6 linked regions of the Daphnia pulex genome follow. The protein of the gene in region 2 interacts with the protein of the main gene of each other region in a pairwise test. Links are inferred from orthologs where the notes say so. Each region holds a gene or a part of one and is shown on either strand. Other genes may lie near its edges. The genes, in order: golgin subfamily A member 1-like, ras-related protein Rab6, ecotropic viral integration site 5 ortholog-like, GRIP and coiled-coil domain-containing protein 1-like, TATA element modulatory factor-like and protein bicaudal D-like.

Region 1 (4,005 bases), on a different chromosome or scaffold from region 2:
TACGCATTGTGCGCAAAACACTATGACGTTTCTGAATGATTTCGGTTAAAGGCGCAAATTTTTCACCGACGGTATTGCGTAATATTGCGACTGTATTACTTGATGGATAAATATGCGCATCATATAATATAATCATCTTCTTCCTTCCAAATATTTCCCGCGAGACATTTCCCTTCTATTGCCGGGATACCTTTTTTTTCGATATTAGTTTTTCCCTTTTTTTATTTCTAGTCCATTACCCATCTTGGATCGCTCGCTCGCTCTCTAAGTACACACCAATCAACGCCTAAAGTCGCAAACATTGCAGCTCCCGTCCACCCAAACAGAAACCGAGAAGATTTATGAACCCGTCGGGATTTACATTTTCCTCCTGACAATCGATTCCAAAGCTAATTACGTCGCCCCTACTAATAATATCAAAAGCGAGGACTGATTACTTCAGTTTGAAAGGTTCCATTAATTAAGGCATAGAGGAGATTTATGGGAAAACAACACGTGGCTATGATTAAACATTGAAATGGAATATTATTATTATTTTTTTTTAAATAAAAAAAAAAGCCATTATTACATGATTTCACTATAGCTGCAGTATCCAGACAGGCCCAAAGGAGGCAACGTGTAGAGCGTTCGAACGACATCAAGTCGAAAAGGAATTCTGTACAATGTTAAGATTCTTTGGAGCAAATCAGCTGTTAAACTGCGGCTCGAACTTAAAATAGTTGGAGGAAAAAGAAAATCAAACAACAAGAAGCAATCTGAGATGGTGTGCTTCTGCTTCAGTGCGTTGGTGGAATGTACATAGCGCCTTGGCCGGTTCCCAAGTCCGGCCGTGATCGAAACCAAGACATTTTCCACTCCAGCGTTTCTTTCAGCAGTTTCTCTTCATCTGGCGTCAACTTGAGCAACGTTGAAACGGCCCGCGTTAAATGCTGAGCCTACACCCAGCCGCACAATAAATAAAATTAATTAAAAAATCAATTTAATTAAAGACGATAAAGCAATTGTTACCTCGTATTCCCGACTCGTTAAAAATTTGAATATGACGTGCTTTAAATATTTAAAGTTTACTTCATCCATTTCATTCTTGGCAGGTTGAGGGGCTTTGGGTAGAACGGGACTTTTAGGAGCGGTAGAGGAAGACGCGGATGTCGGCACCGAAAGACTGTCGGGATCATTATTTTGATTCTTCAGTTCTTTCTGCAGAGTCTTTTTCATGTCGCTCAATCGCTGTTGCTGTAATTTAATCGTTTTGTTCTTCTCTGAAAATGCGGCTTCCAATTCGACAATTTGGGATCGCAATTTGCACGTTCTCTCAGAGTTCTCGTCCCGGGCTTCGGCGTCTGACAAAAGGAGTTTAATTTGTTGGTTCTCCCTTTCCGTGTCGCTAAATTTATCCTGAAGCTCTCGCAATTCCTTCTCAGTCCGCTGCAATTGCTGTTGACTCAGTGACACTTGCTGAGATAGTTCTGCATTCCGCACAACGAAATGATCTTTTTCTTCCGAGAGCTGAGCTATTTTATCTTTCAAACTTAAATTATGCGTTTTTTCATCCTGCCAATTTTGCGTCATGGTTTCAAGAGTTGATTTCCCTTGATCGAAATGCCTTTGTAACCGCTGAAGCTCGCCATCTTTTGCAACCTGGACATGAAATTCAAATTGACAAATGCACTTGCAAAGTCTAGGGAAAACTCAATTCAATCTTACCAAAGTTTCTTCAAGTGCCTTCAACCTTTCTTCCGTTTCTGTTTGTTTCTGAAGGAGATTTTCTCGTTCTATTCGATCGATATTGGGTTCTTGACTGTTTACCTCTGAATCTGAGCTTTGGGTGTTGTGGTGCATTTCCTCATTGAGTCGTAGTTGAACCTGAAGCATTTTCACCATTTCATCTTTTTTATTCAGTTCTTTTTGAAGTAAATCATCTTTGGTTTTCATGTCTTCAACTTCAACACTTGCATTTGACAACTGAAATGTTAAAATTAAAATGTTAACTTGAAACCGTTAACTGTTAATAATATGTATGAAGGACCATGTACCAAAAGCTGAAGGGAAGCTGACTCTCGTTTATTTGATTCCTGCAACGATTTAAGGTTTTCCTCTGCTTTCAGATATTTATCTTGATAACCTGAAGATGAAAAAAAGTATGAATGTAAAAGTTTTTTTAAATGTGACAGACCATCTACATACTTTTTAGTTCCTTAATTTCTTCTTCCATTTTTCTTTTCTGCTGTCCAAGCATGTCACGATCTTTAGCAACCTGCTCCTTCTCATGTTCTTGCACCATAACCTTCACTCTCCACTCATTCTCTATTTCAACTAATCTTTGCCTCCATTTCTTTTCTGCTGCCATATTGGCATCAGCTTCATCATTTTTCGAAGTTCCTGCCATTGAGGATAAGCTCGTAGTTGATCCCTTTTGAGACTGGGATGTTGAAGCAAAGTTATCGTGAGACTTAATTGAATTAGACGAAGGAGATTTTTCAGGAGCTCCACTGATATTTGAGAAACTTATAGAATTTGCTAATTTATGTAAATCAGATCCTTCAAGATCTTCAACTTTTTTCTTTAATTTCGCAAACATCTTGGCACTTAACGGTTTTCGTGATGTTTTACTTTTTGTACTAATAAATAGCAGACAACAAAATCAAATGATTAAACAGCAACCATAAAACATAAAAAGCCCCGCCTATTTTAACTGCAATAATACGCCACGTAGTGAAAAACAACAGTAGGAGTGTAGGACATAAACGCATGAACGTCACTATTATCCTATGCACTAACAATATACAACAGCACGTATTCCTTGCATTCGTGAAATTTGTTCAAGACGTTATAGACAAAACTCTTTTTCCAACAAAATTTTCTCATTAGGATTCTAGATCGCAGACGAAACTAACATGGCGCTGTCCTCTCAGAGTAAAAAGATTGTAAAAAGATCTGTGCAAAAATTCGAGTGCGGTTCAAATGGCCAAAGCGTAAAATGAACTTCATCCGTATGTCTGCGTTCTTTTTTCTTCTAAGTGACCCCTCCACCATAAATTTAGATGTCAAAACATTTAAAATGGGTAAGTATTAGGTAGTCGTCGGTACTTGAGGAGGGAATTCAGGAAATAAACTCACACGCACAGCAAAAGATCAGATTTGAATTACTAAAAAATTCGTGACCAACAGACGGAACGAAATCCTATCTCGCTCAGAATTTCTCTATACTAGCAATTCAAAGTTATTAGTATGAGAGTCATCATCATCATCTTAATTTCGTTTTTGTTCGTGTTTGTTTTAGAAATCGCACTGCACCCGAGTACTATCCTACCTCCATCTGATGGAGGTAGGAGTCCATCTTGCCCGCTCTAAATTTCTTTCCTTATTCCTATCGTGACCGATCCGGATCTATCGCCGTTAAAAAAAAAAAAAAAAAAAAAAAAAAACTATTGAAAATATGCGGAAGTGTTCTCGCTTAGATCATACTATCATAGATGTCACTGACATCGCATTGTTTTCATTCAAGCAGAAGGAACAAGGAAGTAATTGATCGAAAGCTTCGGCCTCGGGACAGTGCGGGACAGCTCGTTGAAGACAGTAGCCTACTGAAGGAAAAAACAAGATTTTTGTGTTAGTATTTAGTAACTTTTATTAGTGTAATGGGTAGTTTGTTATATTTACCAGTGATTTGGCTTGCAGCCACTAGTTGGTTACTTCTTATGACAACTTTTTTTGTACCTGATTCTGTTGCCATTCAAAACTTTAAGGTTAGATAATTTTCAACATAATGAAATTAAAATATTTTACAGTATGAAAACCCTTTTCCAGGACATGATCAAGTTTCCAAGCAACCTTGAAGAATTAAAGTCTTTAACAGGAACATTGCTTGAATTTCAAAAGTTTCATCCTCTCTATGTTTACATTCTGTTCTGTAGTGCTTATTTGTACAAGCAAACATTTGCAATACCAGGTTCAGTTTTTTTGGTAAGCATACTATTAATATTACTCTTGTTGTAACCTTTAAAT
Region 2 (4,060 bases):
AGCCAAAAACTGTGCTAGGTTTGATTGAACGTGCGATTCTGTAATAGATTTTAGAAAAAACAAATTATTAAGATACTATTACTTTCGAAAATGCCATTTCGCAACAAACCTGTCAAGTTTTTTAACTTGCTGTACACAAGGGGGGCAAAACTATGGCTGCAAAGGTTTTGCACAGCCTGATACAAGTCCTCTAGGGCTGATTTAATTGAGGTTGAATTCTGTATAGCAACAACAGCTTCTTCCAGCTTCTGCCAAGCAACATCCTGCAAAAAAAAGTTCAACAGTCAGATGTATCGAGAATTTAATTTCAAATTGAATAAATAACCTGGTAATTCTCAGGCAATTTGGGGAGTTCTTTCATAGACTTGATGACAATTTTCTTGACATTTCCAGCAGCTGGTTTGACTACTGTTGGAGATGATTTCGTCAACCCATTCGTGCTGACCAAGGCAGAGAAGTTGGCCCTCTTTGCCTCCTCCATGGTAGGCTTTTTTGCCTCCACCTGATTTTCGTCACTATGCTTTCGCTTGACTCCAATCAATTTCCCGGTCGGCTGACTCATATAGAACCGATTTCCGGCAACTCTCTCGAGCTGTAAGCCAAAATCTAGAAGTCTTGAATGTTACGAGAAAAATCACATGCTCGACATCATCCGACACAACGAAACCGACACGTTTTTGTTACTTATACAAAGTGACCGTTACGTGCAACAACAGCTTTATTCTCACAAGGTTAACTCCACGTCAAAAAGTTGAGAAATGACACAATTAAACTATTGATGTTAATTTAGTCAGTACTTTCAGGAAATTCTGTTAGTGAAAGAATCCTTACTGCAATAGCAGCAGATGAGCAGAAGGAACGACTGAACGGAAAACAGTTTTTAGCACGGCACTCAATGCTTTACAGCGCCCTCTTCGAGTTCGACAAAAAAAGAAGTTTAATAATTATTTTTGCATACGGTGCATACAACACTAACCCATGTAACGTTTAATTTTCATATTAATCAAGTTTATGTAATTTTCGTGGCCATGAAATTTTACGTCACAAAACCGTTTTGGGGTTGTTTTTCGAATTTAATCGATTTCAGCATTTGCATTCATTTCTTATTGAATTAAATGAATAATTTTCAAAAAATAAATTACTTAATTTACTAGCTATTATGTTTAAATTTTACGCCGTAAAATATATTCACAATGAGCAAACAAAGGTGTAAAAAGTTGTGAATTACAGAATGGCAACGCACGTTTTGGTCCCTGCAGAGCAGTAGCACGGCAAACTAAAGAGACCAATTGATACGTGGACAGTGAGCGAACTGTCATATTGGGGTGTGTTGGCTTATTACTGATTCGGCAAATAATATTTGGCCATCTCAAGAATTTATTTGTTTACTCGATCTCTGAAATTAGAGGCCGAATTGGTTGGCCATCTAAATAAGGGAAATTTGCGTTTATCTTTTCAAGATGACGACTTCCAATGAGTTCTCCAATCCGCTTCGGAAATTCAAGCTGGTGTTTCTCGGCGAACAGTCTGGTCATTAACCTTTTACTGCTTTTATAGAATATTCTTAATGCCGGATTTCTGTTATTTAGAATCTTCTGTTAAATTTTATTTTATTTTTACAGTTGGAAAGACATCACTGATTACGAGGTTCATGTACGACAGTTTTGACAATACTTATCAAGCCACTATTGGAATAGATTTCTTGTCTAAAACAATGTACTTAGAAGACAGAACTGTAAGTAAAAATTTCATCATGCATAACTATTTTGCAATCCCAATGACTAATGCTGTCCAAATTCAGGTTAGGTTGCAGCTGTGGGATACCGCAGGACAGGAGAGATTTCGCAGCCTTATACCTTCATACATCCGTGACTCTACAGTAGCTGTGGTGGTTTACGACATAACAAGTAAGAAATCAAACCACAGTTTTTGAATTACCATCAAATTACAATAATTTTTTGTTATCCTGTTTAGATGCAAATTCCTTCCATCAGACATCCAAGTGGATTGATGATGTGAGAACAGAAAGAGGGAGTGATGTGATAATTATGTTGGTTGGAAACAAAACAGATCTCTCAGACAAGCGGCAGGTCAGTCATCACTAGTGCAAGTAGCATTTTAAACTTCCTACGTCATAGTGGAAATGATTACTTTTCCAGGTTTCTACCGAGGAAGGAGAACGAAAGGCGAGGGAGCTTAACGTTATGTTTATTGAAACAAGCGCTAAAGCTGGCTACAACGTTAAACAGGTTTGTAGGACAAATTCCATTTTTTTGTCACGATCCACGAAACTTGTTTCGCACAATTTTGTTTCATTCTTCCTTCTTCCCGCAGCTTTTCCGACGCGTAGCCGCCGCACTTCCCGGTATGGAAGCTGATAAGAAACCTCCAGAAGACAGTAAGAACTTTTTTTTCTATAGCCGAGCATTACTAGTATTTCTCTTCTATAAGACCCCTCTCCTTTCGGTGTCCATAGTTCCTGTTTATTTTATCTCCTAAACTTGTTTTGCATGTCGCTTTGATTCATTTGGTGTTTCAGGATGCTTTTTCTTTCTACGACTTTTTTTAAGTTGAATATGTTTTTTTTTGTTGTTGTTTTCCTTAATTCGTTTTTTGTGTCCTCTTAGTCACGGAGATCGATTTGAATAACGCACCGGTGGAGCTGAAACCTGCAGAGGGCGGCTGTGCATGTTAAACAAACAATAAGAAATCCTCCTTTCCTCCCTCCTAAAATCATTACTTTTCTTCGTCGTTACACGACTTTATTCAAACATTAAGAGCAATAGTTTTGCCTGCTTTCTCGTCTTATATGAGCAAGAGATAGCGATACAACAAAACATATTTATCGTCAATTTTCATCCATACCGTTTAGTGTTTTTGCTAAAAATATAAGGGACGGTTTGAGAACATTAAATTGGCGGAATGAAATTTCAGAATAATTTTTCTGGTTGGTAACGAACGAAAAACAAAAGAAAAGTAAAACAAATGGTAGCTTTACATCTCGAGTGCTTATATCGTTATACAGCCCCTATCATCATCAGAAGCACTCTTAAATTTTGAATCCTTCGTTTATTTCATTACTTTGGTCTTCACTAGTTTTTATCCAATAATTGGGTCTTCCGAAATGTTTTTCAAGTTATTTAATTCATTAATATCAAATAATGCTAATTAAAAAGAGATTCTTTGTTTTTCCAAACCCGCTGGAATGCGTTTTTTCTCTTACACCCTCTATACTTATATTTCTTTCTTTCAAACAAATGAATGGCATGTTTGATTCTGTTTACGTCACGTTTCAACGTGGCACTCACCTGAACTTTTGTCCTGATAATGTTGTGTGTGGATCATCAAATCATCTTAATACACCGCTTGCTTTTCTTTCCTCCCAATTAGACAACAATTTTGCTTTTCTCAGTATTTTTCGTTTAGTGGTATCTTTTGTGGTGTGCGTTCTTTAATTTATATCTTTAATTGTTCTGTGGTCCAATGAAATCAAACTTACAAAATCATTCAATTACCCCCTCCAATTAGCTGTCGACCTCCGCCCATCAACCAACGCGAATCACCTGGCTACAGACCAAGAAGGTGGATGTTCCTGCTAATGATTAAAATCAAAGGAAAGAAAAAGAGCAACCAAACTTAAAAGGAAAACAAATGAATACCATCCAAGAAAGGGCTCAATCGACCGTCATTGTACAGTCCAAAATCTCTCGAAAATGTCATCAGTTTTTAACTTTTTTCTTCACACAAATGATTGGCTCGCAGTTTAACTTTTTCCATGTTCCTTCTCCTAATGGAATGTCGTGACTTGGGATTTTTTTTTTTAATTTTTAAATTAGCTTTACCTATTAAGGTTTCCGGTGTACCGTTCAGACTCGACGGTTATGCAAAAACTGCACGTATTATCGTCCAATATTATTTTCAACACAAATTAGAAAACGCTATCATTTTACAATTTGTTACTTTCTAGTTCGTAATCATTAAGTAAAAGAAAAAAAATTCACGTTTTGTCACATTTTCTCTAAGTTCATGACGTCCTCCCCCCCCTTCCAGCCAATTGCGC
Region 3 (2,658 bases), on a different chromosome or scaffold from region 2:
ATGGTGATGTGGTAGGTTCCATCTCTAGGGACGACTGCCTAGAATAGTTCTATCGATCCCGGAAGGGAAAAAGAAAAGGGGGGAGAGAAAAAAAGGAGTATTAATTGAAAGGCGAATAAAGTGAGTGAGATGGATGAGATGAAAACCTCTTGTTCCATGTGTTTGAGACGCTGCTGGAGCTCACGCAGGTGAGCAGTGTTCTCAGCGTCACGTTGCCTGGACGCTTCCAGTTCACGTTTCAAGTGGAAAGTTGTTTCTTCCTGGTCAGCTCGACTGACTTGGCCGCGTACCAGCCGTTCGGCCAGCTCACTTGACTCCGTTTCCAGCATGGAGACTTTCTGGCGAAGCATACGGTTCTCGGCTCTCAGCCTCTGTCGAATGGGAACCAATGAGAAAAGCCACATGCGTGAATTCCCGCGTCGGCATCTCAAGTAATCCACAAATAAAATATAATAATACCCGGACTTCTTCCTGATCCTCTTGCTCCTTCGTCTTGAGAGCTGTGTATTCCTTTTCCCACTTTTTCATGCGCTTGGCGCTATATTTGACGTTGTAGGCGGCGACAAAAAGAGGATCTGGGCACGGATCAAAACGGGCCGGCACTTCCTTTTGAAAATACTGCCGAAAACCAAATCAAAATGACACAAGAAAAATAAAAGATTATAATCCTGTTATCTACTAAAATGAACAAAACGAAAGAAAAATACCTTGAGCATCCCCTCCATATCCTGAGAGAGAAGGTCTTCTTTGCCGAAGTTGAGAATGGCCACGGCCAACCGGAAAATAATTTCCATGCCATCAATCAAAAAGGCGTCCATCACCCTTGGTAACAGAAAAACCGAAAAAAAAGAAAAAGGAAAGAAACATGAATGAGCATTGTCGACATTTTCATGTTTTCCTCTCCGGTAGTTTAAATGCATTTGAACATGTTAGTCACGATGTTCTCCGACTGAAATAGCAGAGACCGGCCGGAATGCCGATAAAAAAGGAAAGAAAAAGGAAAGAAAAACTCAAAAGGAGGAAAAAGTTAGTCTCGGCTCGACTGAATTAGGAATTGGTGGGTGACTGTGTGCCGGCGACGCAATCGTACAAGGAGGAAAGAAATGGAAACAATAACAAACGACAACAATTCCGGAATAGTTGGCAAAGAACCCACATTTGTTTTCCCTTAAATACTTTCATTATTTCGGTTGCCCACAAAAGGGAAGATGAGAATTCCAGCCGACAGAATTTTCAAAGGTCCATGGCATACTTTTTTAGAAATATTGTTACTATGACTGGGTAGGATGTGGGGGCGTAGGAGATTTCCATATTGGCGTGGGTGGACTGCTGCTGCTGGAAAATGACTTTCCAGAAACGGTCAACCCCCCATTTTAGCTCGGCAGTTGGCACACAACGTCAAACAACTGGGTTTCTAGGTAATTTCTGTGTGCATTTGTATTGTTATATTACCTGCAAGCCACCGAAAGGGTCAACGTGGTGCTGAATAGGGTGAGGAACCAGCTGCTGGCGTACATGCTCGTGTCGAAACTCTGTGACAGGAAGTGGGCGTGGAGATCGGGCAACAATTCCTGCCATCACAACCAAAAACCACAACAAAGACCACGGAAATCAAGATCATTTTCTAGCATTCAAAATGTATGATAATTTTAGCGAGTTACCTCGACGAGATTCTTGAGTTGATACAAAACCAAACCCAACTCGGCCATGGAAGGTTTGAAAATCTCCCGCAATCGATATTCCTGCATCAATTTGACCACGACCGCAAAAGCTTCTTCTTCGGGCATCTATTCATTCGAAAATTGAGACAACAGAGCGTGAGCATTATCAAATCTTAATAGAATTTAAATAATAATCAAAAGAAAAAGAAAGAAAAAAGTAGCCAAAAAATGGGGGGGGGGGGGAAACATGACCAACTACACCACCATCCCCTTACGACGGTTGATAGCCTGCGCGTTCCTACATCTTTCATTATTTTTGAATGAAACGATCTATGGAAAGGCATTCCTTCACGGCATAGTGGGCGTGAGTGAATGATGGATGGTGATTATCCACTACTCTACCAACTACCAAGGCGATGATCTTTTCCCTTTTTTTTATAATATTTACTTCTTTCTTTCTTTCCTTTTCTACCACCGGATTGTCTATATGTACTGTACCTGCATGAGGAGGATGCCAACGATGAAAGCAGATCCCTGGCAGTAGCCCACCTCACGGTCATGCAACGAGTAGGCTTTCATGACGTTGAAGAGACTTTCCTGGCCCAGGCCATCTTTCTCTTTGAAGAAGTCGTGTTCGGGGTACGTGCGCGCTATGTCGCGACGGATGACCTATCATACATTTTTTGTTCAGGAAGGATGTGTTATATTATTATCATACCATCCACAGATCCATCACCGGATTGAAGAGATGATGAAAGAAAGAAGAAAAAAAAGGATGGAAACCTTTTCACAGGCGGATGTGGCTTTGATATACTCGGCGTATTGCGACTTGGCCGGCGAGTCATTGGCGCCGCACAGCAGTGGCCAGACGACGCCTCTGAAATGATGCGGGATCCCTTTGCGGACGAGGTCCTTGACGTAGGCATTTCGCTTCTTGTACGTATTGGCCCAGTCGGCCACCAGACGGCCCCAAAGGCTCCACTGATCCTCTTCGTTG
Region 4 (4,122 bases), on a different chromosome or scaffold from region 2:
GTAATACAAGGGCACTTGGAAATGGAAAGAGTGAAAATTTGCCGCAGAGGCGATTTCCAACTTACTAGGAATAGCTGGCGGATAAAATGCAGCAGGACTGGATCAAACCAAATTCAGTTTCCATTTGGGATGCTGGGATCGCACTCGCTGGATCTCTTTCGGTGAAAAATGGAGGCAGGCGGCGATGGCGTTGAACATGTGAGACTGAGAGGACGGATCAGAGTGGAGAAAAAACTCCAAAAGGACGTTTTTCAGGTATTCCAAATTAGCGCCTTCACGCGATTGATTGCGCTCCAAACGAGCCAGTTCTTCGTGCAGATGCTGTTTCTGCTCGGCAACTTTATGCTCCATGGTAACAAAGGCCATTTGCATTTCACGGAGAGAGGCTTCCAGCTGATTCTTGGAACGACGCAGACCAAGAATCTCCCCCTCCTTCCGGGCTAGTTCTTCCACGTAATGCAAAATTTGCCCACCACTGGCAGAAGCTCCTAACGTCATCGAGGCAAGAGGGGCCAAGGATTCAGGCCACTCGTCATTCGAGTCGCTGGTTTTAGTACTAGAAGTGACAGGAGACAAAGCCGATCCGCTTTTCAAGTTTAACGATTCGCGGAGGCTGGCGAGTTCTTCGTCCTTTTCCTGCAACAGCGTCAGGGATCGCTCCCTTTGCTTTTGAAGCTGTTGCTCCATATCGGCAACACGAACACGACACGTGCGTTCCATTTGGCCCATTTCATCCTTCCACTCGCTACGCTCTTTGGCCCAAGATTCTTGGATCGATCGCATCGAATCCTTATGCTCCTCTTCACCGTGTTCCATTTCACTGCGGAGGAACTGGATTTGAACACGCATTTGATTGACTTCTTCTTCAGTGTGAGCTGCTACGGCAACTGCTTTTACGTCGACTGGTTTTTCATCGCGTTTGTACCATTCAAGTTCATGTTTCAGTTGCTGCAATTCCAACTGACAGGCTTCGTGATGATCAGAGTCTGAACTGGCATTGTCTAATTCAAAAATCGCTATAAATTGAAATAAAAGAAAAATTACTAATTTTTAAAAATCAGGAAACACCACTAAACAAATTACCAGCGAGATTAATGTTTGCATTCGACCGACGGTTGACTTCCATTAACCTATTTTTCAATGAAGTTATTTTATCGATAATTTTTGGAACGTCATATTCTTCTTCGTTGTGATTGGAAGCTTGGCTTGGTGCACTTTGCATGGTGTTCAATTGCTCCTGATAACCAAAAAAGTTTAAATACTCATCGAAATAATAATTATAGTGATACGTACCCTAAGTTTCGAGACAGTGGACAGGTCTTGTTGTCGTAAACGGTCATAGGAACCGATCCGCTCGGAAAATTCCGCCAAGCGAGCTTCTAAACTGGCAACTCTCTTTTCATGAGCTTCGGCTAGCTTTCGCGCATCTTCCTTAGCCTCGAGCGCATTTCGCTGTTCCTGTATTTCATAAGGTAAAGTTAAACATCATAATCACCTTTCAGTTTGGACGAAATTTTTACCTGCTGGATAGCCAATCGGTGGTGTATCTTTAAATCAGCCATTTCGTTCTGAAGTTGCATCAAATGAGATGGCTGTTGGAGTTTTTGCTCGGCAGCAAACAGTTTCATTTTAGTTGATTCAAGTTCATTACTGAGATCCCGAAACCTAAAACATTTAAAAATAAATATTTAAAATGACATATTTCATAACAACAGTTTATTAGGGCATTACTTTCTTTCAGCAACTTCCAGTTGGTTTGAAGACTGGTTGCTAGCTTGGTGTGACAATCTAGATTTACTATTGAGTTCTGATTCAAGGTTTTCTCTTTTTTGCCTCTCTTCTGCAATAGTTTTCTGCAGTTCTCTGCAGAAAATGAAATATTATTTAAAAAAATGAAACTGGATGAGAGATTTGTTACAGAATCACTTGATTCACACACCTCAGAATCACTTGATTATTTGTTGACTCTCTGCTTCTTTCAGCCTTTTCAGTGCTAAGATTAGATTTAAGCTCAGACAGTTGCTGCTTAAATGACTGTGAGGCAATGTCTGCCTGATTACAGGCACCTGCTAATGCTTTCTCCAACTATAAAAAGGAAAAAAATAACCTACACATGATTTTCTTATAATTTAATGAAATTCAACCAACTAGTAAACTTACACTCTCTTTTTCTAGTAAAAGTCTTTTGCGATCTTGTTGGAAATTAGCTTCACTTCTTGATTTTTCAGCAGTTATGGTTGCCAATGACTCAGATAAAGTAGTCAACTGGGTTTTCAGTAGTCTAAGAGTATCTCTTTCCTTATTTGCAGAAGCTCCATCCTTAATTTAGTAAATTATAACCATTAGGATTCAGAAAAAAAAATTTCATGAATTATATAATACCTCTGTGTCATTCTTAATGCCTTCAAGAGATGTAGATGAATCAATTCCAGAAATATTTTCTGCAGAATTTCCATCATCTGCTGAATTTTTGGCCTCAGCCAAAGCCTTTAAACTTGCTTCCAAGGCTTCCTTTTCTTTTTGAATGCCTTTGTAGGCTTGAACAACATCTAAGAAACACACAAAAATAATGAAATTAAAATTATATTAAAAAACAATGTGATGGTAGAATTCAAACTTAAAACACTTCAAAATATTTAAATAAAATTAAACCTACCCCTCAATTTCTTCTCATAACGACCAAGCTGTTCCTTTTGCTGTTCAATTACTTCTTTATATTCCTTCTCTTTTTTTGTTAATCTATCCATTTCTGCTAATTTATTTAATTTCTTCTATTTACCTACATTGTTTTTTTCGTTTAACCACATAAGCAGCAGCTGACTTCGCCTAGCGGAATGTATTGTAACTGTGTATACACAGCGGCTGCTAGCTACACGTCACCTCTCGTAGTTGTGTACCTGTCAAAAAGCCACTGCTTGAAAACTGTTAATTTGCTTCATAATGGCATTCAATTTTGATACTCACATGGTTAGCATTTATACTTGAAAAATCCTCATAAATTGTTTAACGAAAAACTTTTTACTTAGGACTATGAAGGACAGCATTTCGCCGAAAAGTTATCGCACATCATTGTTGTGGTTTTTGGGGTAAAGTTTTGAATTTTTATGATTATGGTTGTCAGAATAACAATTTCAATTTCAAAATCTGCTGTTAGGTTATTGGCTGGGTTATAGGATACATCAACCAACAATTTTCTCAGACAATTTTGGTCCTTGGAGTTGGAGTACTAATTGCTGCGATTGTCACACTACCTCCCTGGCCCATGTATCGCAGAAAGAGTCTAAACTGGAGGAAGCCTCGTAAGGAGGTTACTGTAGATACCACCAAAACAGAACAAAAAGAAGTTGTTACTACTGCATCCAAGCAAAAGAAAAAGAATAAGTAAACACTGTGTGATTTTTCATTGAAAAATAAAAATTTATTAAACATCTAATATTCTAGACTGACCTTTATTCCTGTAAATAGGCTCCTTTAATGACTAAAAAACTGCAGTTTTGCGTTTTCCTGTTAAAATCAGAAAATTTAAAAATAAGTTGAACTTTAAAGCTATCCATTTTTTTAAATTTACATTCAAGATGAAATTCCATTTAACTACTATAGAAATTCTGCTTTCATCGGCGCTTATGCATACTAATAATGAAGTCCCCTCTCCACAGACTGTAGAAGTGATAACACCACTGAAAAAGTAGGCTACCTGTCTCCCCCCCTTTCCTGTGATCATTGATGATTGTCTCTGCATCTGCAAATATAAAAGTAGTTTTACCATTTAAAAAAAAAGGTTAGGAAGCAGTAATTTAACTTTGATATAAAATAATAATGAATTCAGTCTCCGTGCAATTGTGCAAAAAACGATGACGATCAGGCAATTCAAGTTGGCTTAAAGTCGCTATCTTTATAATAACTAGCGGACAAGTTAAGTCAAAAGAAGAAAAAAAATAATGTTGTCTTCTAACAAACTAAGCCTTGTTTAAAAACAGGTTTGGAACAAACAGGAAAATGATCCAATATTTATCCCTTTCGATGTTTCCTTCTTTGATATACTAACGATTCATAAATTCTTAAGTATGAAACGCAGCATTCATAAAAATATACGTAGTAGTTCTACTCTTATTTCTACCGCAT
Region 5 (3,943 bases), on a different chromosome or scaffold from region 2:
CGTTGTACATCTTTTCAGATCTTTCTTCGGACAACCTTTGTGAGGTTAGTGCATGCTGCAGCGTATCAATCTGACGTATCAAAGGCTTGGTCGCAGTGGTTAATGCCTTATCACAGAAAATAAAACAAAGTTAACAAAATTAAATGTCATCATTCTTAATCAATATCGAGCTGTAATAAAAATTGTACCTGAGATAGTTCATCGCTACGAGATTCGGCTTCATGCAGCCTATGCATTAATCGCGAAACTTCGCTTTGTATCCGTTCTCGTTCTCTGAAAAATCAAATTTACAAATGATGACGCATTGAAATCAAAATTAAATGAGTTATGTACATTACCTTGAGCGATCACTGTCGACTTCGGCAAGTGACTGGGTCAGTTCTTGGCAACGCATTGTGAGCGCTTGTCTTTCTTCCTCAAACAAACGGCTGGATGTTTCATACTCTAACTGAAGGCGTTGACGCAAAGATACTTCAGCGCTGAGATTGCGCTCAGTTTCCGCAGAATCGCGAATGGCAGCAGTGGCTCTTTCTTCGAGAAGTTTTTGTTCTACCTCAGTGAACGCAGCTCGAAGAGTTTCCACTTCCGCAAGCTTTTCACGCATCATGACTTTATTGGCCAAAAGCTCCTTTTCTAATTGGCTATTAACCATCGCAGATTGTCGAACCTGCATAATTGAAACGTGTTTAGTGCCACAACATTTCATTCTCTAAAATTTATGCACTTCAGCTTACAGCTTCGATTTGGTTCCTCTCGAGTTCTTCTTTCGCGGACAAACACTTGTTCAAACGATCTACTTCACTTTTTAGTTCTTCATTTTGATCTCTAAATGACGGGGGAAAAAATGAACTTGTATTTTTACACGCAATTTGTTTAAATATTTACTTGAATTGTTTGCAACGGACTTCCTCCTCTTTTTCTTGCACTCGCAATTTCTTTATTATGTTTGATAATTGAAGATGTTGCTTGGATAGCTTTTCGCCTTCAAATCTTAGTTGTTCAATAGTTTCGTTTTTTTCTCGAAGTTCCTCTGTTAAACTGCCGTAAGATTCTTGGTTCTGTTGAATCTGTTCAAGTTTCTTGACTAGTGATTCACGCTCAGCCAATACCTGCTGATAGCGTTTTTCAATCGAAGATAACCTTATGGCAAACTCGTCCGATTGCCGACGAATGGTTTCACCCAAAGCCGTTCGCTCCTTTTCGTCATGGGCCAACTGTGATTTAGCACGTTCTACTTCTTCCGATAATGCGTAACATTTCCTGGTATATTCCAATAATTGGTTATCTCGGGCCTTTTGGTTAAAAAAATCAAGGGGATCATAAAAAAGACTGACAAAAATAGAAATGTATATAACATTGAAATACTTCAAGTATTTGATTCAGTTGAATGATTTGGCATTCTGTTTTGAGCGGGTCCGAATCTTGTCCAGTGGAAGTTGCGCTATCGTCACTAGAAGCTTCGGATGGCTTCCGACTATGAGTCTTTGACTCGCTTCTTGAACGGACGGGAGCTACGAGTTGTCTTATACCCGCTTGAGGACTTGCGATGATTTCGATATCCGACGAAGTGGTGGTCTCGATCTCGTCACCTGAGGCAGACGCCGAGGTCTCAGTCTTGATCGAATCCTTCATCGCTTCTGAAGATGTTGTTTTATTATTATTTCAACTTTCTTACTTTAATCAGATCTAAGAAGTTTAGAAAAGACGCCAGCGTACCCGACAGCATTGTTGAAACTTCATCTCTGTTTTGTGTGCGATGGTGGTTGGTTGTTTCTTCTCTGGCATCACTTTTGGTATCACTTTTCCAATCCATATCAGCCAAATCATTTTCAGGACTGATGACGGTAATGGAGCTGGAAACTGACATAGAGCTATGGTAACTTTCATTTACATTCGTTTCTTCTATAGAATCAGTCAGAACCACATGATCCAGCTAAATGACATGAAAATATAACAAAATACAATCAAATACTTCTTATTCCTGAACAACTTTATCATCTATTTATTTTCCTTACCTCATTGGGATTGCTTTTTTTTTCAAGGTCTCCTGCAGGAATGGATGTTTCAGTATGGGTGCTTAAATCTTTAGCTGTTGTTTGAAGTACATTTGAAACTGGGGCCTGAAAAACTGCTGCTATTAAACAAAATTACTTTATTATCAATCGAATGACTTGACACACACATGTTTAGTACTTTTTTGCTGATCTCTTTCAGACTTTGAGTCTGGTTCACTCACTACGACATCTTCTGAGCTTGTTCTGGTTTCATCAGGTGGATCATTTTCCTCTTTCACCAAATTGAAGGATTCAAAGAAGTGTCCAATAATTTCTTGAATGACAAATCATGCAACAGAACTTGTTATTAAATACATTCATCTATCATAGTAGGCAACTGAGATACATATACCATTTTCAATTGGTTTATTTCCAACAGCATCTGGATCTCTAATGTCAAGTGCTTTGTCTATGGTTTTTTGGGCTTCTTTTAGTGCATTTTTAGCCAAATTTGCAATGCTACTGGTATTGAGCCAGCTCATTTTCGATGTAGACGGTAGCCACGTCAGCAATAGCTTTCAGCTTTTAAACGACAAGCAAATATCCGAAAATTCCAAAAGTAATATCTCTCATAAGAATCTAATACAGAAAGCCCTATTTTTTAAATACTTGCCTCATAAACTATAATTGGGCCGTCATTAACACAAATCCAAAAAAACAAAACAATCAAAAGTTGTAATTTCTAGCAGACAAATGTCAGAAAGCTATTGCTTTTTGTATTGCATAACATGGTTGCTCAAAGCATTTATCTACCCTACTTTCGATCGAGTAAAATTTTCCAAAAAATAATTAGCATCGTCATCTATATGACTCTAATTTTCTAAAGAATTAATACAGATACTATGTCATCTTATAACTGGTTTTAAAAGCAATTTAAAATCTAGTCTGAACTCTGAAGGCAACGTGTGAAAGTACGCTCTACAGGAACGATATGGCAATGTTGAAGTTATCCATTTCTAAGACCGAGAAGTCCCATCAGAGTCTTTTCGCTTTGCCTTTGGTCAGTCCCCAAGTGGTAGAGAAACAATGGTAAAGACTAGCTCGTTTTCATCTAAAATTATCTTTTACATCCTGTATTTCTCAAATACTTTTTAGTAACGTGCTGATTTGGAGTGATTGTTGGATGTTTTTACTAATCGATGTATTGTAATACCTCTTTTTTCAGGGTATTGACATCAACCATAAGTACGACCGTAAAGTCGTCCGACGTGAACCGAGGTCTGAAGATGTCTATCTTCGACTTTTGGTGAAGGTAAGAATCATTGAAATTTTGTGTCATTGGACTATTTTGTAAAATCGTTTCGTTTACAGTTGTACAGGTTTTTGGCTCGTCGTACCAAGGCCAAGTTCAATCGCATCATTTTGAAGCGATTGTTTATGTCGAGGATCAACCGTCCACCACTGTCGGTGTCTCGCTTGTCAAGACATATGAAGAAAGCCGGAAGAGAAGGAAAGATTGCTGTTGTCGTCGGAACTTTGACAGATGATCCTAGGATCTTCAAAATCCCCAAGCTCACGGTAACTTTTTTAAAAAATTCATTTTGCAATATCGTGTCTTATGGTACATTCCTTCTTCAGGTGTGTGCTCTGCGTGCAACAGAGAGAGCTCGAGCTCGCATCTTGAAAGCTGGTGGTCATGTTTTGACTTTCGATCAGTTGGCCCTGCGTGCACCAACAGGCAAAAATACTATTCTTATCCAAGGGCGGCGCAAAGCTAGGGAAGCTAACAAACACTTCGGACCTGCTCCTGGTGTTCCTGGATCACACACTAAACCATTGGTTCGCTCTAAGGGACGGAAATTTGAACGTGCTCGTGGTCGTAGGTCATCTTGTGGTTACAAAAAGTAAATTTCTTCTTTCGAGAAGTTTTTGTATTGGTTATCAAAAGA
Region 6 (4,290 bases), on a different chromosome or scaffold from region 2:
GTAGAGTGGCAATTTGCTCTCTTTTGGTTGAGAGCAAAGCTGAAGCAAAAACAAAGTTTCCCGTTACACTTGATAATCCTAATAATACTTTTTGACAATAATATACCTTTGAGCTTAACAATTTGTTCTTGGAGTTCAGCGACATCTGACTCGAAGTTGTCTCGATCCTTGTCTGATACCAAGTCGTTGGGTGTGTCTTTGGTGTGGCTTTGTTTGACCAGCATTTCAGCAGCTCGGCGCAACAGACGAACTTGCTCTTGAAGCATGTGCAAGAGTCGAGTAGGATTTTGAAGAGAAGTGACTGTAACACTGGATTCTGGTGAGATGTTCTCCTTATTGTATTCGGAACCGATAGAGGTTGGTCCAGCGACATCCGAAGCTAAGCTACTAGGTCCACTGCCAGCATCTATTGTAGTTGTTGAATCTTAAGTCAATATTCAAAAGCAAATTCATTTTAACTAAGTTCTACTTACCAGTTGAGCTCCGGATAATTCCTGCATGGGACCCTGATCCTGCCTGAATGCCTACGGCAGCACACAGATGTAGCGTAAGGGCAGTGATGTCATCTACAAGAGGAGATAGTTCAGACTGAAGTGCTACCAATGTAGCTCGACTATCACCAGCCGACTCGGAGGAGGCCGCAATTTCAGAGTGAAGAACTGACACTTTTTGCTCTGTATCTAACAACTACACGAAAAGGTGAGTAAATGTCTAATTAAAAAGGTATTACAAAAATTACCCTCTTCTTCAACGCGATGAAATCTTGTTCCATATCAGTTGGTAGTTGACCGGTAGATGCTCCTCGGAGAGCCCATAATTCTTGTTGAGCTTGCTGAAGTTCCCTAACAGCCAGCGCGGTACGATGCTTGAATTTATCAACCAATTGCTGAAGATACGTAGACTTGCCAGGAGCAGAAGACGGCTCTGATGGTGTCCGATCAATTTCCTACGAAAAACAAAAAATAATCATTTGAAACCTTAAAAAAAAATCAGAAAAAATAGAAAATAGCTTTACCGAAGCATTAGTAGGAGTTTCCACAGTTTCGTGAAGGTGAAGTAGGCTAGCCAAATACGCATCCAGTTTGGCCAGTTGAACATGTCTGGATGCTGCTTCGTGTCGGGCAACATCGGAGGAATCTTGGGCATCTCGTAGACGTTGAAACAACATCCCTTTTTCCGCTTCGACTTGTTCTAGCTGTCTTTCTAGTTTCTTGACTTCGTTCAAGTGAATTTCACTAAACAAATCTCCACCACCCTTGTTGTTCCCATCGCCCCCTTCTGTCCCGTCATTGGTTACACCACCAGTTTTCAGGAATGAGGCTTCAAGTTTTTGCAACAGTGGACCGTCGTCTTCACCTTCACTTGCCCCATGTTCTTCAGATAGTCCTTTAATACAAAAAAGGAAATGACAGAAACATAAATTAAATAAAAATTGGTTTCACAATTACCTTTAATGCTGAATGCTAAATTGCTCAAATTGAACATGGATTCACTAGTCATTCTTGCATCAAGATCTTTCTTGATAGCATATTTGGCTTCTCTTTCAGCTTGTAGGGCATCTAATGCTTCTTCCATCTGTTTTTCAGCTAATTTTCGCAAATGCGCCAACTCTGCATTTTGTTGATTGAGCAGCTCGAGTTCTTCTTGCAATCGACGTAGTTCATGTTTGTCTCCCTCTAGTTCAACCTAGCCAAAAATATTTGGTTAAATGGAATACTGGAAGGAAAATCATTTTCAACATTACCTGAGAAGACCTCAACACAGACACTTGCTTTTGAAGACTGATGTTTTCTTCCTCCAACTCTGAGTAATCACTAAGAAGGCGGGTCTCTCTGTATTTGAGTTCTTTCAATTCAGCTTTTAAAGTTTTTCGTTCAAAAATGTAGACTTCCCTCTCTTTCCCAGTATCATTTAACTAATTCAAAAGTGAATAAAATATAATTACACAAGTGAGACTTGCATATTATTTTACTTTACTTGTTGAGTGAGTTGGTCTCTTTCAGCTGTCACCCTTTCCAGTTCAAGGCGCAAATGCTTTGTGTCAGCTTCAAGATCAAGGATTTGAGAGTTGAGAGATGTTTCTCTTGCAGCTGATTCATATAAAAGAGATTCTTCGGTTTCTATGCCACTCTTGGTTGTAACCTTGTGACTATTCTGGAAGCGAGCAAGTGCCTGTATACATAATGTTACATCAAATTATTAAGACATATCAAGAAAAAATATCTGATGTATAAAACATAAGAACTCAATGTAGAGTAACTAAACAGATATACAGGGTGATAGCACAAGGTATGTGATGGTGCAATCCATTTAAATAAAAAGCATAGAAGGTTACCTCACGGGTTAATGCCAACTCATGTCGAGCGTTCTCAAAGAGACTTTCAAGTTCTTCACATCTGTGTTGAAGATTTTCTTTCTCTTCCAGTAAAACAATCCCATATTGAGCGGACTGGATTTTTTCACTGTTCGTCTGGTCCAGCTCTCTCGTCAACCGTTCGATTTCCAAGTTTAAAATTTCTACGTTACCCACTTCCATTTTATGGTATCAATTAAAACGAGTGCTTAACCAGTGCTTAATAAGGAGGGAAATTGTAACAGTTAAAAACGATGGGTGCAGCGAAAATAAACGAGAGGTTTCACGAGGATTGGTGAAGGACGGTAGCCATGAGTGAAACTGTCAAGACCAGACCCTGCAAAAAATGAACTGAACAGCTGACCACATATGCCCTCAAAAGAAAGGCATGGTAACCAGGAAAAACTTTAACAAAAATAATAATCTATTAAAAATATGAATCTCTCGTTATTTTAACTTGAAAAAAAATTTGTTTTAAAAATAGACTTATTTTATGATTTTTAGTGTCAGTCGTGAAACGTTTTGAGAAATCACAACAAAGTAGCGAGGAGGTGTGGCAACCAAGAGTAAATAGTTCGTCTGTTCTGATTGCGAATATTTTGATACTTTTTCAAATTTACAAGGTATTGGTGTATTGTTCTTCTCATTGGAGCTTTTAGCTAATTAAGTATTTGTTTCATTAATAAAAAAACTCTGGTGATTAGTTTTATAATCCACTATAGCCTAGTTGTATCAGTCAATATTTATTGTGTTTTGGTAAATTGCAGATGATCGTCCTGAGAACCTGATTGCCGGTCGTTTTGTAATCTTAAAAAACAAATACGAGCTCTGAATACGAGTAGGAATGTCATCAGATGAAGAAGCGCGAGTCTGGTTAAGAGAACACTTTCTGCGAACACTAACCAAACTCAATGGTAATCAAAGCTTTATATAACATAACCCAATTGTATTTTAACTGTTATTTATTCTATTTATAGGAGTGGAAGCTGTTTTCACTATGCATGAAAATATTACAGTTACTGGTCAATATGAATGCTCCAGTGCTGATTTAAAATATTTTCATGTCTCTGGCCTAAAAACTCCTTTGGGGAACTGTAAACAATCTCTTTTGAGATCTAGTGATGTAATCAGCATTGATTTCAAAACACCTTCCAGTCTATTCCCTTTACCAGTTTCAACTACTGTTTCCAAAGATTGTTTACAGAGTCAATAAATTTGTTTGGTTCAACAGTTGTTTTGTCATTCTTTAGAAATTGGAAGTGCTTTTGCTTTCTTCTCTAGTCTTTCAGGTTCTTGGCTTGCTTCTTATTTTAAAATTCAAGCCTATTAAGAACTGACAATTGACAAATAAGAAAAAATTTCTGCTTAACGTGCGAATTGTATTACATAATCAATAACAAATAACCCTTAAAATTTAGTCAGAATTTTTTAAAATTTTAAATAATGAAGGAAGAAAAATTATGGTCAGAAAAGGCTTCAGCATCGGTAGTTCACAACGGTATGTCAAAAATTGATTTTCGTCTGCTCATTAGTCCACTAGCTTTTCTGTTAGTGTTACTTGGCCACGTGCGCTGTTGAACATTCGTCACCAAGCAGTTTTAAAATGAAGAAACAATTACGTATGTTATTTATCATTCACTTTATGTATTCGCACTTATTCGAGAGTTTTTTTCTTTTGTATAATCCTAAGAATATCAAATATATTTTCCTTTTTAAATTCTCTAGGCGCTAAAAGTCACCGATTGCCTCTCAGGAGGAAGTATACTATCCTTAAAAAGATCAAGGAACACAAGAGAAAGGTTAATCGTGATTTGAGAAGAAATCCAGAAAAGAAACGCAAGCCTCGTACAGATCGTGGGGTGCCAAATTCATGTCCTTTTAAGGAGGAAATTCTTTTGGATATGGAGAAACTAAAACAAATTAAAGAAAGAGAGCAA

Evidence for each region.
Region 1: the proteins of ras-related protein Rab6 (region 2) and golgin subfamily A member 1-like interact in a two-hybrid assay, tested with the Drosophila melanogaster proteins (2 studies listed by BioGRID). The link is inferred for Daphnia pulex from reciprocal best matches to the Drosophila melanogaster genes Rab6 and Golgin97.
Region 3: the proteins of ras-related protein Rab6 (region 2) and ecotropic viral integration site 5 ortholog-like interact in a two-hybrid assay, tested with the Drosophila melanogaster proteins (2 studies listed by BioGRID). The link is inferred for Daphnia pulex from reciprocal best matches to the Drosophila melanogaster genes Rab6 and Evi5.
Region 4: the proteins of ras-related protein Rab6 (region 2) and GRIP and coiled-coil domain-containing protein 1-like interact in a two-hybrid assay, tested with the Drosophila melanogaster proteins (2 studies listed by BioGRID). The link is inferred for Daphnia pulex from reciprocal best matches to the Drosophila melanogaster genes Rab6 and GCC88.
Region 5: the proteins of ras-related protein Rab6 (region 2) and TATA element modulatory factor-like interact in a two-hybrid assay, tested with the Drosophila melanogaster proteins (2 studies listed by BioGRID). The link is inferred for Daphnia pulex from reciprocal best matches to the Drosophila melanogaster genes Rab6 and Tmf.
Region 6: the proteins of ras-related protein Rab6 (region 2) and protein bicaudal D-like interact in a two-hybrid assay, tested with the Drosophila melanogaster proteins (3 studies listed by BioGRID). The link is inferred for Daphnia pulex from reciprocal best matches to the Drosophila melanogaster genes Rab6 and BicD.

What each region holds. Positions count from the first base shown.
Region 1 is NC_060020.1:6,037,641-6,041,645, reverse strand, and holds golgin subfamily A member 1-like, read right to left. Parts: upstream 2,734-4,005; 5' UTR 2,579-2,733; coding exon 2,185-2,578; intron 2,123-2,184; coding exon 2,034-2,122; intron 1,963-2,033; coding exon 1,705-1,962; intron 1,639-1,704; coding exon 1,009-1,638; intron 936-1,008; coding exon 777-935; 3' UTR 501-776; downstream 1-500. Other genes in the region: transmembrane protein 41A-A-like, read left to right, coding at 3,639-3,746, 3,808-3,963.
Region 2 is NC_060023.1:1,255,386-1,259,445, forward strand, and holds the start of ras-related protein Rab6, read left to right. Parts: upstream 1-1,260; 5' UTR 1,261-1,460; coding exon 1,461-1,530; intron 1,531-1,622; coding exon 1,623-1,735; intron 1,736-1,801; coding exon 1,802-1,907; intron 1,908-1,974; coding exon 1,975-2,090; intron 2,091-2,159; coding exon 2,160-2,249; intron 2,250-2,334; coding exon 2,335-2,398; intron 2,399-2,627; coding exon of another isoform or gene 2,628-2,695; exon of another isoform or gene 2,696-3,386; intron 3,387-3,528; coding exon 3,529-3,599; 3' UTR 3,600-4,060. Other genes in the region: cullin-4A-like, read right to left, coding at 1-38, 110-263, 326-562. UniProt on the Drosophila melanogaster protein: Protein transport. Regulator of membrane traffic from the Golgi apparatus towards the endoplasmic reticulum (ER). Mediates membrane trafficking during egg chamber growth and organization, possibly upstream of exocyst component Sec5.
Region 3 is NC_060021.1:8,635,220-8,637,877, reverse strand, and holds part of ecotropic viral integration site 5 ortholog-like, read right to left. Parts: coding exon 2,445-2,658; intron 2,331-2,444; coding exon 2,160-2,330; intron 1,788-2,159; coding exon 1,662-1,787; intron 1,572-1,661; coding exon 1,453-1,571; intron 823-1,452; coding exon 708-822; intron 619-707; coding exon 460-618; intron 372-459; coding exon 147-371; intron 50-146; coding exon 1-49. UniProt on the Drosophila melanogaster protein: Functions as a GTPase-activating protein (GAP). During border cell migration in the ovary, acts as a GAP for Rab11 and is necessary for the maintenance of active receptor tyrosine kinases at the leading edge.
Region 4 is NC_060018.1:298,106-302,227, forward strand, and holds the start of GRIP and coiled-coil domain-containing protein 1-like, read right to left. Parts: upstream 2,801-4,122; 5' UTR 2,748-2,800; coding exon 2,657-2,747; intron 2,550-2,656; coding exon 2,383-2,549; intron 2,320-2,382; coding exon 2,161-2,319; intron 2,086-2,160; coding exon 1,940-2,085; intron 1,864-1,939; coding exon 1,732-1,863; intron 1,666-1,731; coding exon 1,521-1,665; intron 1,459-1,520; coding exon 1,294-1,458; intron 1,238-1,293; coding exon 1,084-1,237; intron 1,017-1,083; coding exon 103-1,016; 3' UTR 1-102. Other genes in the region: signal peptidase complex subunit 1-like, read left to right, coding at 2,941-2,967, 3,027-3,086, 3,155-3,385.
Region 5 is NC_060017.1:4,092,872-4,096,814, reverse strand, and holds the start of TATA element modulatory factor-like, read right to left. Parts: upstream 2,801-3,943; 5' UTR 2,668-2,800; exon of another isoform or gene 2,577-2,667; 5' UTR 2,537-2,576; coding exon 2,407-2,536; intron 2,329-2,406; coding exon 2,194-2,328; intron 2,135-2,193; coding exon 2,016-2,134; intron 1,934-2,015; coding exon 1,717-1,933; intron 1,638-1,716; coding exon 1,366-1,637; intron 1,293-1,365; coding exon 886-1,292; intron 826-885; coding exon 735-825; intron 668-734; coding exon 339-667; intron 274-338; coding exon 189-273; intron 107-188; coding exon 1-106. Other genes in the region: 60S ribosomal protein L18-like, read left to right, coding at 3,081-3,083, 3,220-3,306, 3,366-3,572, 3,633-3,902.
Region 6 is NC_060027.1:4,510,132-4,514,421, reverse strand, and holds the start of protein bicaudal D-like, read right to left. Parts: upstream 2,801-4,290; 5' UTR 2,537-2,800; coding exon 2,336-2,536; intron 2,173-2,335; coding exon 1,978-2,172; intron 1,916-1,977; coding exon 1,745-1,915; intron 1,687-1,744; coding exon 1,449-1,686; intron 1,387-1,448; coding exon 1,016-1,386; intron 947-1,015; coding exon 740-946; intron 688-739; coding exon 474-687; intron 407-473; coding exon 107-406; intron 40-106; coding exon 1-39. Other genes in the region: guanine nucleotide-binding protein-like 3 homolog, read left to right, coding at 3,957-3,972, 4,079-4,290. UniProt on the Drosophila melanogaster protein: This protein is essential for differentiation. It may play a role in localizing of Nanos (a maternal determinant) activity in oocytes. Functions redundantly with BicDR.